2 linked regions of the Cricetulus griseus genome follow. The protein of the gene in region 1 interacts with the protein of each later gene in a biochemical or structural test. Links are inferred from orthologs where the notes say so. Each region holds a gene or a part of one and is shown in the gene's direction. Other genes may lie near its edges.

The links.
Region 2: the proteins of Erbb3 (region 1) and Grb7 form a complex in vitro, tested with the Homo sapiens proteins (2 studies listed by BioGRID and IntAct, with this or other methods). The link is inferred for Cricetulus griseus from reciprocal best matches to the Homo sapiens genes ERBB3 and GRB7.

Annotation. Positions count from the first base shown.
Region 1 is NW_023276806.1:129,327,172-129,330,684, forward strand, and holds part of Erbb3 (receptor tyrosine-protein kinase erbB-3), read left to right. Parts: intron 1-225; coding exon 226-299; intron 300-807; coding exon 808-898; intron 899-1,270; coding exon 1,271-1,476; intron 1,477-1,657; coding exon 1,658-1,790; intron 1,791-2,437; coding exon 2,438-2,528; intron 2,529-2,699; coding exon 2,700-2,854; intron 2,855-3,513. UniProt on the Homo sapiens protein: Tyrosine-protein kinase that plays an essential role as cell surface receptor for neuregulins.
Region 2 is NC_048600.1:111,572,247-111,576,511, forward strand, and holds the start of Grb7 (growth factor receptor-bound protein 7), read left to right. Parts: upstream 1-1,463; coding exon 1,464-1,615; intron 1,616-1,720; coding exon 1,721-1,871; intron 1,872-2,029; coding exon 2,030-2,186; intron 2,187-2,296; coding exon 2,297-2,418; intron 2,419-2,540; coding exon 2,541-2,618; intron 2,619-2,847; coding exon 2,848-2,997; intron 2,998-3,674; coding exon 3,675-3,785; intron 3,786-3,995; coding exon 3,996-4,094; intron 4,095-4,265. UniProt on the Homo sapiens protein: Adapter protein that interacts with the cytoplasmic domain of numerous receptor kinases and modulates down-stream signaling. Promotes activation of down-stream protein kinases, including STAT3, AKT1, MAPK1 and/or MAPK3. Promotes activation of HRAS.

The DNA of each region.
Region 1 (3,513 bases):
CTCTCCAAGGAGTTCTGTTTCCTTAGGATGAAGACTATGATTTAGGAGCCAAGAGGCTGGGTTATAATACCACAGCTTGCTTAGCATATTTAAAGCCCTGGGTTTGATCCCCGGCACAGCAGGGAAAAATGACATCTGGAAACTGTGTTTTGAGGTGTGATGTGTTTATTACCACTGAGTCATGCATGCCTCTTCTTTGTTGAAAAGTTTTCACTATTCCCCCAGAGACCCCTGGCACAAGATCCCTGCGCTGGACCCAGAGAAGCTCAATGTTTTCAGGACGGTCCGGGAGATCACAGGTGAGGAAGATCAAAGACTTCCTTTGCTGGAAGGAGCAGATGACCCACCGACATGCATTATAGTTAAACCACTTAAGAGAAGTCACACTCGAGGACTGGAGAGGTGGCTCAGAGGTCCTGAGTTCAATTCCCAGCAACGATATGGTGGCTCACAACCATCTGTAAGGAGATGTGGTGCCCTCTTCTGGCATGCAGGCATACATGCAGGCAGAATGCTGTATATAAATAATAATAAAAAAAAAGTTACACTCTTCTGGACAGAAGTGGCGCACGCCTTTAACCCCAGCACTCGGGAGGCACAGGCAGATGGATCTCTTTGAGTTTGAGTCCAGCCTGGTCTTCAGAGAGAGTTCCATACAGCCTTCAAAACAATACAGAGAAACCCTGTCTCGAAAAAAAAAAAGGAAAGAAAAAAAAAAGTCACACTCCAAGGCACAGTGGGACAGTGACAGGGAACCTGAGGGCAGGAGAAGACTCCCTGCTTATATGCCTCTCTCCAACCCCTCAGGGTACCTAAACATCCAGTCCTGGCCTCCTCACATGCACAACTTCAGTGTGTTTTCCAACCTGACAACCATCGGGGGCAGAAGCCTCTACAAGTGAGTAAGGTGGAGGTGATATCTTCTCCAGACATTGCGATGGGCGTCTCCTTATGAAACACAGCGCGTCTCCCAACCAACAGCCCCCAGTAGTCTGCTAACACAATGGGGGGGGGCAAATGTGGGGTTGTAACCTTAACATTGCAGAGGCTGACCCAGGAGGGTCACAGCAAGTTCAAGACCAGCTTGGGCTGCATAGTGAATTCCTGACCTGCCTCAGAGATGTAGTAAGATCTGTCTCAGAAAACAATCCCGCCAAAAGAGGGAATCCCTCTCCATGGCTCTAACTTAGCCTGGAGCAAATTTGTTGAGTGGAAATAAATCCCACTTTCCCTTTATAGTCTGCCTTCTAATTCTGCCTCCTTATTCCAGCCGGGGCTTCTCCTTGTTGATCATGAAGAACCTGAATGTCACATCCCTGGGCCTCCGGTCCCTGAAGGAAATTAGTGCTGGGCGTGTCTACATAAGTGCCAATCAGCAGCTCTGCTACCACCATTCTCTGAACTGGACAAGACTGCTCCGGGGGCCTTCGGATGACAGACTTGACATCAAGTATAATCGGTCTCCGAGAGAATGTGGTGAGAGGAAGGGCCTACCAGGAGTAAGAACTGGTGGTTGGGGAGGTGAGACCCTCAAAGTGGAGTAGGCTTGAGGGATGGAGCCAGTAAGGACGTGGGACGTGGCAGCAATGAAGAACTGTTCAGAAGAAGGCTTCCTGGGAGTCCTGAGTCTTTTCTTAACCTGTCTGTTCTTTTCCAGAGGCAGAGGGTAAAGTGTGTGACCCACTGTGCTCCTCCGGGGGATGCTGGGGCCCAGGCCCTGGCCAGTGCTTGTCTTGTCGAAACTACAGCCGGGAAGGTGTCTGTGTGACTCACTGCAACTTCCTGAAAGGGTACAGTGTGGAGGATGCCAAGAGGGTGGAGTAAGGCCCAGGGATGGATGGAGGAGTTCAGGCGCTAATGAACTGTGATTTTCACTCTCCCTTCCCCCCCTCCTCCCACCCCCCACTCACTCTGTAGCCCAGACGGGCCTTAAATCCTTCTGTCTAAACCTTCCAAATGCTGGGATTACAGCTATGAGCCACCGTGTCTGGCTCGATCGAAGGGAGCAAGGGAGTGAGGGAGTGGGGGCAGGGAGAGACAGACAGACAGGACCTTATAGTCTTGGCCTGGAACTTGCTATGCAGGACCAGACAGGACTCAGAGATCTTCCTGCTTCTGCTTCCTGAGCGCTGAGGTTAAAGGTGTGCATGACCACATCTGGTCCTCTATTTCTTTCTTGTTTGCTTGCCTGCCTGCTAGCTTTTGTTTTTATACAGGGTCTCACTCTGTAATCCAGGCAGGCCTTGAACTCATGGAAATCTTCCTGCCTTAGCTTCCAAAGTTCTGGGATTACAGATGTGAGCCACCACCCCTGGCTTTGTAGGCAGCTTTCTGCTTGTGTCTTGGTGAGCATGAAGCAGAAAGCCCTTATTACAGAATAAGGGCATGAAGGTCAGAACTTTGGAAGTGACCTCCCTCTGTCTGTCCCCCACTGCAGGGAGCCTCGGGAGTTTGCTCATGAGGGTGAATGTTTCTCCTGCCACCCAGAATGCCTTCCCATGGAGGGCACCAGCACGTGCAATGGCTCGGTACAGTAGCAGCCTTGGGATCTGTGAGGGAGATGGGCAATGTCTACAGAATGATATGGCCAAATTCCCAGGGGAGCCTGAGAACCCTGGGATCTGTACATGAGAATCCTGAAGGGATAAAGGCTGGAATTAATACTGAGATCTCATTCTCCACAATCCTCTTCTACTCAGGGCTCTGAGGCTTGTGCTCAATGTACCCATTTCCGTGATGGGCCCCACTGTGTCAACAGCTGCCCCCATGGAATCCTAGGTGCCAAGGGTCCAATCTACAAGTACCCAGATGCTCAGAATGAATGTCGGCCCTGCCATGAGAACTGCACTCAGGGGTGAGTGATGGGATGAAAAGGAGGTGGGGGAGTGGGGACATTTAATTAGGATGAGGGGAGAAGCAAGAAGAGAGGTTCAGCTACTTAAGACTCACTTCCAGGGCTGGAGAGATGGCTCAGTGGTTAAGAACACTAGCTGGTCTTCCAGAGCTACTGAGTTCAATTCCTAGCAACCACATGATGGCTCACAACCATCTGTAGTGAGATCTGGTGCCTTCTTCTGGCAGGCATATATGCAGGCAGGACACTATATATATAATAAATAAATAAATCTAAAAAAAATTCACTTCCAGCTACAGAGTAAAGGACTGGAGGAAGAGAAACTCACAGCACGAAAGTAGACCACCGTTAGGGGAAGCTAGAATAAGCTCGGGAGTTTAATTCAAGAAAAATTGTAGTGAGCCAGAGATGGGGAATGAGATACTCAAGAGGGGTGGGAGTGGAGTCTCCTCTGTTTAGGAGCTCAGTTTGGGGCTCCCGGTGCCACAATAGGTTTGTTCTGAAAGAAGCTTTTATATGTAGAGGTTCTTGGACCTGAGTCTCTATTGTCTCTTAAAAAATTACTTTTAGGGCTGGAGAGATGGCTCAGAGGTTAAGAGCACTGACTGTTCTTCCAGAGGTCCTGAGTTCAATTCCCAGCAACCACATGGTGGCTCACA
Region 2 (4,265 bases), on another chromosome or scaffold:
ACAGGAGTCCCCAAGGCCAGATGCATCAGCATACATCCTAGGATAATTAACAGCGAAGAGAGTTGCAGGTTCCAGACCTAGGCTAGGCAGGACTGGATGCTGCCTGCACATCACCAGGAGGTCGGCTCCAATCCTGATAGGCTCCTGGATCCAGGCCGGGCATTTCCTCCTACCTCCCTGGGTTATAGGCAGGGTGATGGTTTGGGACTAAGGTGGGCAGATGATTAGTCCCACCTGGGCTGGACACTGGCCAAGGGTGGGGAGGATGATGTCAGAGGAGCCTCGGGCTGCTCCTCCCATTTTCATCTTTCCCCAGCCTGCACCCCTTGCTCCCAGGCTACCTGTAGGTTGGGGAGTCAGGGACTGAGGGCAGAGGCAGGTTGTTTGTGTTCCTCCTCAGCCAGGAAGTCCTATAGATGAGTCAAAGTTGAATGGGGAGCCTGGGGCATAGCTGTCCCGCCCCGCCCTGACTCACCTGTCCCCCAGATCCCTTCATGCCCTCACAGAAGGGTCAAGAGTTTGTCCTATCCTGGTGCCAGGAACCTTCCCAGGTGTCCTGGGCAGCCTCACAGTCCTGATGCAGGGTCTGGAGAACAGGCAGGATACTGGGATTGGCATTTTGTCTGGGTTCTGCCAGGTTCAGCACCATGGGGTCTGCTGGTTCCTGCAGAGAAAGGCTGGAACCTGCCCCACCCCCAACCCCTTGCCTGGTCTCGTCTGTCCTTACTTGTCCTAACTTCTCTGCACCCGTGGGTGCTAAGGCATAGGTGAGACTCTAATGTGTGCCAGGTGCTTTCAGACCAGAGATGGGTTAAGACAGGTGCACAGTAGTGGGGGTAGAGTTCCCAGCACCAGGCTGAGTGTGACAAGTCCAAGAGAACTTCTCATCCATAGGAGGTGGCTTTATCATTGTGGCTTTGGGTAAAAATTGGGTGGGATGAGGAGTCTGGGAAGGCCCACCGAGTTTGTGGGTGCTGGGGTAAGAGCCCCCCAGGCCTCCTGTTTCCACCACAACCTGAGCACATGGTCCTGCCCTCCTGATCCTGTCCTTCCTAATCGCCTCTCTCTATCACTCATCTCTCTGCCAGGTGTTACCACAACAGGCCTGGCAAACTGCATCTGGCAACAGGTGCTAGAACAATAAAGTGCTGGAAAAATCTGGGGCAGAGCCCAGTGGCATGAACAGCCTTTGCCCTGACCCTGTGGCTCCAGCTAGGGACATGTGGCATGGAGCCTACCTCTTCTTTCCCCTGAGCTGGTGTTGCTGCAGGGAGAGCACTGGCATTGGAGTCCCAAGCACCAGACTGAATGCCACTGGGCACATGCGTACTTCCTTCTCAGGACCCCAGTGTTCCTTTCTATGAAGTGGGCGTGCCCTGTATCCCCTCTGAGGGCTCCGAGGAAACTGCAGTTTGAAGGGATCAGCGATAGCACATGGCATCAACATTGTCTTCACAGGTACCATGGAACTGGATCTGAGCCCACCTCATCTCAGCAGCTCCCCAGAAGATGCGTGCCCAGCTCCTGGGACCCCTCCTGAGACTCCTCCACCCCCTGATAACCCTCCAGCTGGGGATGTGAAGCGGTCACAGCCTCTGCCCATTCCAAGCAGCAGGTAGGATCGGACAGTGGGGCTGCATGGGTAGGGAGGTCTGGGGACAGGGAGGCGAGCCAGCACTGACTAACACATAGTGGCTTCCATCCCTCAACTCTGACATAGGAAACTTCGAGAAGAGGAGCTTCAGGTGACCTCGCTACCCTCCATCCCCAACCCGTTCCCTGAGCTCTGCAGCCCGCCTTCACAGAAACCCATTCTTGGAGGTTCCTCCAGTGCAAGGGGGTTGCTTTCTCGAGATTCCAGTCGCCTCCATGTGAGTTGTTTTGGGAAAGGGAACAGTGGGGACAGTGCTGCCCCAGCCCCGGGCAGATGTGGTGTCGCCTCTTTGGTGCAGGTCCCTGAACATAAGTCAGAGAGTAGAGTCCCCCGCCCCTGCCTTGCCCCAAGTAACCTGCAGTTCCTGGGGTACAGGTGGTGAAGGTGTACAGTGAGGATGGGACCTGCCGGTCTGTGGAGGTGGCAGCGGGTGCCACAGCTCGACATGTGTGTGAAATGCTGGTACAGCGAGCCCATGCCCTGGGTGATGAGAGCTGGGGCCTGGTGGAATGCCATCCCTATTTAGCACTGGGTGAGTCGGGGTACAAGGAGCTGTGGGGCGATGTCTTGGGCAAGATAGGTGGCTCATCTGTGAGGCTTGGTTAATTTCTACCAACCCCTGCTTTTCACCCTTGATCTCAGAGCGGGGTGTGGAGGACCATGAGTTTGTGGTGGAAGTGCAGGAGGCCTGGCCTGTTGGTGGAGATAGTCGCTTTGTCTTCCGCAAAAACTTTGCCAAGTATGAACTGTTCAAGAGCCCCCCGGTGAGTGGGAACTGGGTGTACACACACACACACACACACACACACACACACACACACACACACTCTAGATCCCTAGCCTGGATTCTTGAGCGTTGATTCCTAACTATTTCTTTCTTCCCTAGCATACACTGTTCCCAGAAAAGATGGTCTCCAGCTGTCTGGATGCACAAACAGGCACATCTCATGAAGACCTCATCCAGGTGAGGTCTGCCTCACCATAGATCCACAATTCTCCCTACCCCCTTACCCCAAGTCATCCAGTGTTTCTACCCTCTGCTGCCATGTGTGATCTGATCTGTGTTTGTTGGTGTCTGCCGCCACCATGGTGACCTTTGCTGGTGAAATGGTGGCAGTCAGTGCTGGTGCAGCACCTCCTGCGGAGGTTTGAGAGGAGGCAAGCCCTTCACCCCTGTTCACATCTGTCCCCAGAACTTCCTGAATGCCGGCAGCTTCCCCGAGATCCAGGGCTTTCTGCAGCTTCGGGGCTCTGGCCGGGGCTCAGGCCGAAAGCTTTGGAAACGGTTCTTCTGCTTTCTGCGCCGGTCCGGCCTCTACTACTCCACCAAGGGCACGTCCAAGGTGAGGTCTTGAGGTCAGCTCTCGCCTGTCATGTACTTCTTCCTCACTAGTGCTTCTTGACCCTTCCATCTTGGGCCCGGGGATCCTCAGCTGCTCTTCCTTCCCCTTGGGCTGGCTGTCTTCAGGCCATGCCAGAATCTATCCATCCCAACCCCTGTTTGGCTCACCTACCCTAGGAATGGCAGTAGAAAACATAGGCGCCTGTGTGTGTGTGTGTGTGTGTGTGTGTGTGTGTGTGTGTGTGAGAGAGAGAGAGAGAGAGAGAGGGAGAGGGAGAGGGAGAGGGAGAGGGAGGAAGGGAGGGAGGGAGGGAGAGAGAGACATTGTTAGCCATCACCATTGGTCTCAGGTCTTCAGGACCTTGTTTTTGAAGACAGGGTCCCTACTAGGACCTAGGACTTGCAGATTAGGTCAGGCTGAGTGGCAACCCCACACGGGGATTAGAAGTGTATAGCATTACATCCAGCTCTTTAAGTGGGTGCTGGGGATTAAACTTGGGTCCTCCTGCTTGCACAGCAAGCCTTTTACCAACTGAGCCCTCTCCTCAGCCTCTATCTGCTGTGTGAACATGGGTATTTCCCTGCCTCTCCCTGGTCCTAAACTCTCTTTACCTGGTGGGGCACTAATGTGGAGATAGGACCTACCTGTACCAAGCCCTACTTTCTCACCATGCCCAGGACCCGAGGCACCTACAGTATGTGGCAGATGTGAATGAGTCTAATGCCTATGTGGTGACCCAGGGCCGCAAGCTCTATGGGGTGCCCACGGACTTCGGCTTCTGTGTCAAGGTGAGGACTCAAGCAAGGCCTGGTGTGTGTGGGGGGGCGGTGAGAGCTGTCCAAATTCTAGTGTCCTGCCTATGGCTTGTGAACCCCGTCTTGAGAAACCCAGCCAATTACCGCTATACCTGCACATCTGGGTAGTCCTTGGGCCCTTCTTTGCCCCGTGGCAACTGGGCACAGAATCAGACAGGGGACAGACCACTTCCTCTCTCCCAGCCCAACAAGCTTCGAAATGGCCACAAGGGCCTCCACATCTTCTGCAGTGAGGATGAGCAGAGCCGGACCTGCTGGCTCACTGCTTTCCGTCTCTTCAAGGTAAGACCCCTGGAACAGCAGGGGGGCTGGCCTTGCCTGAGGGAGGTGACATGGCTCTGCCTTCAGGAAGTCTTCCCAGTAAGAGGTCACCATAGCCGGGCTTCTGAGAATACCAGTCAGGAAGGGCAGGGTCAGCCCTACTCTGGAGAAGTCCTGGCCTGAGGGGTGTCA